Oryza sativa Japonica Group: one gene and its partner. Each later gene encodes a partner of the first gene's protein in a complex. Links are inferred from orthologs where the notes say so. Each region holds a gene or a part of one and is shown on either strand. Other genes may lie near its edges.

Region 1 (4,337 bases):
AATATGGTACAAAAACATTGAGCTACAAAAATTCTCAACCTTTGCCTGTTCCCCATATTTTTTGTTTGCCTCCCAACTCCCCATGTAAGAGGATTATTGTCTTGTTGAAAAGGTACACATAATGTGTATAACGTGCATATATCATGCCATGCACTATAGCCGAATGCAGTTACATTTTCCTTGCATTCGGAAGTTAGTTTCAGAAGTTATATTTCTTGGGTTTGATTTTCCTTTGCTCTTCTATGCTTTTTCAGGCATACCTGCAAAAGTTAATCTCCTTGGAGAAGCAACCAAATTTTTCCGCTCTGGCTGTTCGTTGCATGTGTACTTTACTAGATACTGCTCCACATTTCAACTTCCGTGAAAGTATACTTGCCAGCGTGGCAAGAAATTTAAGTTCTCCAGATGATGCAGTGAGGTTGACTACGTAACCTGTATTAATTTATATCAAAATCATTGTTTCCTGTTAGATGTTGATTTAGCTGTGCAACTGATTTCCTTGAATAATGTCTTGTGTAGTTTGATTTGTGGATCATCTGTTTTTTATTTATTTAATTTTTGATCATCTGATGGTCTAAATTGTCTACTTAAAATGATGGGAAACACTGGGTTACCTTTTTAGCCAACTGTTCCATTTAATGTTGTCCTCACATTCTTGCATTTCCCCCAATTCTTTGTAGGAAAATGTGTTGTGAAACGATAAGGTCTCTATTTGTAGATGAAGGAAAGCATCGTGGTGAGGCAACTGTTGAAGCTGTGAGATTGATTGCTGATCATGTGAAGCTAAACGATTGCCAGCTTCATCCTGATAGCATTGAGGTATGTGCCAATATTTGTATTTATTACATGTGATATGTGGTTATTATTTGTCTTGTCGCATCTTCACCATGCAATTAATATGTTAATGGACTTACTTCACCAGCTTGGGCCCTATGGGCAGCAGCTCATTCCTAGCTGCTGACCACTGCCCCATTTCATCCAACATAGCTGAAAATCAACTCCATGTGCTAATCGTGGCCACTTTTTTCTGTAAGGTCTTCCTATCTTTGAGATTTGATGATGATCTTGGAAAAGATGACACAGAGGAAGAAAAGGGAAAACCAAAGAAGAACAAACGACGACAAAACCAGGAAGTCCCAAAGCAATTGCCAGTGAGTGATAATAAGAAAGCCAAACAGGAATTGATCTCAAAGGCTAGAGAAGAGGTAACATTTGTTGCATAATTTGATAGGTATAGCTCAAACTGTATAAGAAATTCACTTATTTATTATTATTACTATTTTTGCAGGTTGATGCTGAACTTAGATCTGTTTCCTTTACTCTTGATCCAAAGGAAAGGAGAAGGATACAGAAAGAAGCACTCTCTGCTCTTTTTGAGACTTACTTTCGGATTTTGAAGCATAGCATGAGTATTTCAAATTCCAGGTATGTGCACTTTAATGTTGTCACACTAGTTTTTGCCATAACAATTTCATTACTGGCATTGTACCATTCGAGTTTATCCAATATGATAAACTTTCACTTACTTTGGAATAAAGTTACTATGCTGACAGTCATTATATCATCATCAGGGGCAAGGTCATTAATGTCTCCCCAGATGGCTCACACCCACTACTTGCTCCATGTTTGGAGGGTTTAGGAAAATTCTCACACTTAATTGATTTGGATTTCATGGGTGAACTTGTCGCGTGCCTCAAGAAGCTTTCTGGGTATACCGACCATCACTCTGGCACAGTACATGACAATACACTGTCTGTATCAGAACGTCTGCAGTGCTGCATAGTTGCATTTAAAGTCTGGAGGAGCAACCTTGAAGCTCTGAATGTAGACCTGCAAGACTTCTTTGTGCAGCTTTTTAACCTCATTCTGGAGTATCGGCCTGACAGGTTTGAATTCTATTTATTTTGGTGCTGGTGATGGGGAAGAAATATATATACTCTTGTCCTTTCTAAAACACAGATTCATGGATAGGTAGCATCATAGCAAATTTTTCTTCCGTTATTTTTTGCTTACATTACTTATTGTTGGTCAGTGTTTCACCATTGAAATGCTTATTATTACTCATAAATAACTACTCCCTCCGTTTCACAATGTAAGTCATTCTAGCATTTCCCACATTCATATTGATGTTCAATGCTAGAATGACTTACATTGTGAAACGGAGGAAGTAGTTATGTACAGCTATACCACATAACCATGCTGATTACTGACAATGCATTTTATCATGTACTCCAATGCCGATTATAATGTATAATAGAAGAACATTATACAGTCTTGCATATGGTAAGCACCATTTTATTAATGTGGAGGCAGCAGTGACCAACATGTTTAATTCATGGCTTATGGCGGTCCACTTTGTGTCTTCCATCAACAATACACTTTCAGAATGTTTTCGTGTTGTCATTTTTTGGTAAATCGAATGGTGGTTATGTCTAAGATAGCTGTTGCAAAGTTTTCAAGTAACTTAAGAACACAACCTGATTTCTGTCTCTATCCAGAGATCGTGGTGAGGTATTAGCTGATGCTCTGAAGACACTTCTCTGGGAAGGCAAACAGCAGGATATGATAAGAGCAGCTGCTTTCATTAAACGCCTAGCAACCTTTGCTTTGTCCTTTGGTTCTGCAGAAGCCATGGCAGGTTTGTGTTTGTTTTGCCTTGCACTTTCCCAGTCTTTCTACCTTGATTGTAGTCCAAATATTAGATCCATTGGGGTACGTTTGTTTTTCCTTCCTGGACAGTACATAATATGTATTAAGTACAAACATCTGTTTCATTTCCTTTGACATAATTGCTGACATATTTGAACAATATTTCAGCATTAATCACACTGAAGCATCTTCTTCAAAAGAATAGCAAGTGCAGAAACATGTTGGAAAATGATTCTGGTGGTGGCTCCCTGTCTTGCTTAGTTGCGGTATTTGTCTACCCTTGTGTTGTGCAATTCATCAACATCAATTACAGCTTGTGTTTACCTAATAATGCTACCTTTCATTTGTGCAGAAATATGACCCAGAAGCTAAAGATCCTTATCTGAGTGGGGCACTTGCCTCAGTCCTATGGGAGCTTAGCCTTCTGCAGAAGCATTACGATTCCTCTGTTTCCTCAATGGCCTCAAATATCTTGAGCATGGCCAATTTGAATCCTACACAGAATCCTGTTCCAATTTCAAATGCAAGCCCTCTAGAAGCATATAGAGACTTGTCAATGGAACGGAAATTGTCTAAACCAGCGAATAAATTGTTGCCACTAAACTGCAGAAAGAAGAGGCGTGGTAAGGAGTTTGTTGCCCTAAGCCCTGCAGCGCTCGAGGGATCAGATTGCGTTGCGGGTGGAGATGAACTCAAAGAGAAGTTAAAAAATCATTTTGCGGTACTAAGAGGTATCTCAGAGAATGAGAGATTGAGAGCTGAGCTGAACCACACGTTGTCATCCATCAACTTGTACAAGGAATACAAGAAGCAGAAGAAAAGCAGGAAATCAAAGGCTGTTAAGAAAAAGGTTTCAAGGGCTTAAGTTGTGCTGCGTTTGGGGGAAATTTTTGCACACCAGGGACCAAAGGTGTGCAGAATGAACAATTTTGCCATACCCACTTTGTAGCTTATCGTAGCTTTTGGGTGTAACACATTTGCAGTTCCAAGCATTTCTTTTTAAGCTCGTTCTATTTCCTGACATGTCCTTTTATTCTTGTTGCCTGGACCTAACCAGGCTAACAAGTTTGCTGCCGCTGTACAAGATATAACAGTGGCATGCTTGTGTTATCTATATATATTGTTATGCATGAACAATGCCATCCCCTATGCAAAACTACAGATTGGTAGTCGCAAGGTGTAGGGTGCTCGCGCAGAAAGGGGGAAAAATAGTAGGTTTTACTGTCCACTAGCAAAATATCCATGTTTTGCTATGTTAAAGTACACATTTATTTGAATATATGTTTTTCATATTTAAACATATATTAGACTATTGCATAATGGAGGACATACTGGGAACTAATTTATAAAACATGCGAATGCAGGTAGCATAACTATCACTGTTATCTTTTATTGAGGTATATAGATTTGTATCATTATTCACCTAACATCTCAATTGACATATATTTATAATTAGGGACGCAAACGACTCGGAAACGGATTAAGCAAACACCTAACCACACTAAGGCTGTGTTTCTATAGTTCTACTCCCTTCGTCCAAAAAAGTTTAATGAACATAGATAAGAGTATGTCCAGATTCGTTGTACTAGAAAACTTTATCTAATACTAGGTTGAGTATTTTTGGGACGGAGGGAGTATTTTTGGGACGGAGGGAGTAGTTCTGTTGAGGACATCCCAGTTATGACTAT
Region 2 (2,916 bases), on another chromosome or scaffold:
AATGAAACTAATTTGGTGCTGTAGATGTTAAATTTTTCTACAAACTTGATTGAACCTAAAGTTTGACTAGAAGAAAGTCAAAACAACTAATAATATGAAAAGGAGGTAGCAGTATTGTTTAGTTGAAAATATTATATGGTTTGAAAATATTTTTATGGTTTAGGTTAATTGTACAGAGCTTTGCAAATGCCAAGGGCTAGTGTTAAGACAAATGTCAAGGGCTAGTGTTAAGACAAGGGAGCTCTTAATTAAGTTAGCGTTGATATATAATGGTGTGAATAACTTTGGCAACGGAGCAAATTGAAATAATGAGGCTCGTTGTTCTCCCCTACTGAATTATCAGTGATCTAAAGTCGTGGAGATTTTGTTTTAGAAAAAGGAATTAGTCCTAATTTTTCTCATGGCTTGGTCAAATGTAGCTTCATATGCTAGTACCAGTTTACAATCAGAACTGAAAATCACAGGTCCACCGATTCATGGACAATAATTTAAGCCGTGCAAAGTAGTGGAATATCCCCATGATTCGCACTAGTTAAGACTGATTTCATGTCTTACAAAGGTTGTAGCCTGTTCAATACTATTTTCGCGTTCTCTTTTTTTTCCCCAAGGAAATTATCACTTGTTTAACTCAGCACACAATCTGCCAGAAAGAAAAATGTATGGAGCAAAATCAACAACATCAGCCAAGCTGAACGATTAAGCATACATAAATAAATAATAACGGTGAAGGAACGCAACGAAATGGCAGAGGTCTTTCTCAATTAAAACAAAATTTTCATGATGCGTCTGTTTCTTTCAAAATTGAAAACACATCATCATCGTTTTCATTATCTCTGGCTAATGCTTCGCCTTCTTCTTGGGATGTGGGATTTTCTCTTTTCTTTTTGTTGTTGACGAACCCTTCTTTGAGGGTTGCCGCTTGTTCCGTTTCTTTGATTTCTCTTTCTTCTGTTTCTTCCACTGGCTGTCTGGGTCGACGAAATCGTCATCGCTGTCATCTTCAACAGGCATAGAGCCATCATCCTCATCTGATTCCATATTCTTGTCCTCATCTTCGTCTTCCTCGTCTGAACTCAAGATCAAATCCTCAACAATATCCTCCTCCGTAGCGACATCGTCGTGATTATGGGCTCGCTTCTTGCTCTTCTCCTTTGGAGTTCTGCAAACCCCCGAAAGGAAACATATAACGTCTACCATTCCAATAAAAGAAACAAAAAGAGGCAAAGAGGAAGGTGATAGCGTACTTGGTTTTCTTCTTTTCAGTCAACAAGTTCTTACTGAATGCAATGGTGTCTTCGCCATCATCTTGTTCATCCTGTCGCTTCTGTGCTTCTGACAACCTCCGTGAAAAGGTTGAGGACTCTGCCCCCACAATAACGCTGATAGGGAAAAGAATGATCAGTAATTTTATTAATTATATGTACTCGCAATATGGAGCATCAAGCATAGCTCCACTCACATGTAAAGACTACTAGAAAATGTTGCATGATAAGACGACGAGGTAAAAAAAAATTGGTGCATTTCTGTTTATAAGTGCTACGACTCAACTGGCTGACTCCTAAATTTAGATGAACATCAATGAAACCAAGTAACCAACCTTGTGTCGTCCAGAGAGTCCATCCTGTCCTGACTTCTCTGATGTAGAGTAGCAACATATTTTGATAGAGGACTTGACTTTGCTTCCTTCTCAACCTGAAATGAACATTATATATCTCACAAAATGACACTAAATGAGTATAACAAATATACAGTGCACATCCAACAGGACCAACCATACCTGTAGAAATGAATCCACGGCTGGATCATTAGGAGAGAATCCAATTCCTGCACGCTTTGAGCTTACAAACTCAGCACTAGCCTTTATCTGGAATCACAAAGGATACAAACATCAGCATACATGCATTCAGTTAGGTACAATTCTCTCTTACATGCTTCACAAACCTGATGGATAAGATCTTTGATCTCTCTCCGGAATCTGTCAGCCTTAACGGTTTTGCAAAAGTTTTGAAGCCGGACAAGTGTTAAAAAGGACATCTCAAAGAAGGCAATGGAGTAGCTCCATTGGGCCAAATGCTTAGCCAACTCATCAACCGCGGAAAAGATGCATGCTTCCTGAAAGGCACGTGTCTTCACTGTTTTCTTATCTACCTGCCAGACAAAAGTACCTATTAAAAGTTTTTTCAAAGTAGTCCTCCCAAAGGAAGTGTTGTATTACGAGAAAATATACCTGTTTAACACTGAACAGATTCACTGCTTTGCCTACAGCATCTGGTTTCCCTCCAAGTTCTTTCATTTCCAGCATATCAAGCAGCAGGGAAGACACCGGAATGAAGGTACCAGTAGCTTCAGCAATGCGATTAAGCATCTTCACACATCTCAGGCGTACAGGAAAGTAACGCGCACTTGGTACCAGGCATGCCACACCATGTATTATCTGGGTTAGTGGATAAGCCAAAGGTCGAAGGTCTTCCTCAGAACTACATCCACACACAACACTTGTCCAAAGCTCAAGGCAGAATATGTATTGCCAATCATAAACTTTTTGGTAGGATTTCTACACAAGAACAAGGTCAGCAAATAACAAGTCAGAAAAGAAAGGCTCAGTTAGAGTAATAGAATATAGAATAGAGAGTAAAACTAAACTAACATAAGAAAGAAAGCAATAGTGTTATCCCAAAGTGGACTCTATTCCTCGATAGTACATATGCAACATTGGAATAATGACATACCTCCATCCGTTTCTTCGTTGGTTTGATACTTTCTTTCTGCTTTTTGTCCTTCGATGTCTTGCAAAATGAAATAGGGACCACAAAACTTGTCAGCTGCCAAGTAAATAATTACATTGCAGTATATGATCATCAGAGTTCAACTACACATACCTTTGGTCCTCTTTCAGTAAGAGCTCCCCTTAGGATG

The links. The genes of interacting proteins can lie anywhere in the genome.
Region 2: nucleolar complex-associated protein 3 (region 1) and nucleolar complex protein 2 homolog share a complex: the UniProt entries of both Arabidopsis thaliana proteins name them as parts of the nucleolar complex. The link is inferred for Oryza sativa Japonica Group from reciprocal best matches to the Arabidopsis thaliana genes AT1G79150 and AT2G18220.

The regions. Positions count from the first base shown.
Region 1 is NC_089040.1:18,357,348-18,361,684, forward strand, and holds the end of nucleolar complex-associated protein 3, read left to right. Parts: intron 1-254; coding exon 255-418; intron 419-680; coding exon 681-819; intron 820-1,034; coding exon 1,035-1,205; intron 1,206-1,288; coding exon 1,289-1,425; intron 1,426-1,571; coding exon 1,572-1,886; intron 1,887-2,498; coding exon 2,499-2,638; intron 2,639-2,817; coding exon 2,818-2,915; intron 2,916-3,001; coding exon 3,002-3,514; 3' UTR 3,515-3,818; downstream 3,819-4,337. UniProt on the Arabidopsis thaliana protein: May be required for synthesis of 60S ribosomal subunits and the transport of pre-ribosomes from the nucleoplasm to the cytoplasm. Also required for initiation of DNA replication.
Region 2 is NC_089044.1:19,542,486-19,545,401, forward strand, and holds the end of nucleolar complex protein 2 homolog, read right to left. Parts: coding exon 2,880-2,916; intron 2,787-2,879; coding exon 2,730-2,786; intron 2,555-2,729; coding exon 2,228-2,554; intron 2,149-2,227; coding exon 1,942-2,148; intron 1,865-1,941; coding exon 1,778-1,864; intron 1,693-1,777; coding exon 1,598-1,692; intron 1,380-1,597; coding exon 1,245-1,379; intron 1,160-1,244; coding exon 838-1,159; 3' UTR 549-837; downstream 1-548. UniProt on the Arabidopsis thaliana protein: Together with SWA2, probably involved in pre-ribosome export from the nucleus to the cytoplasm.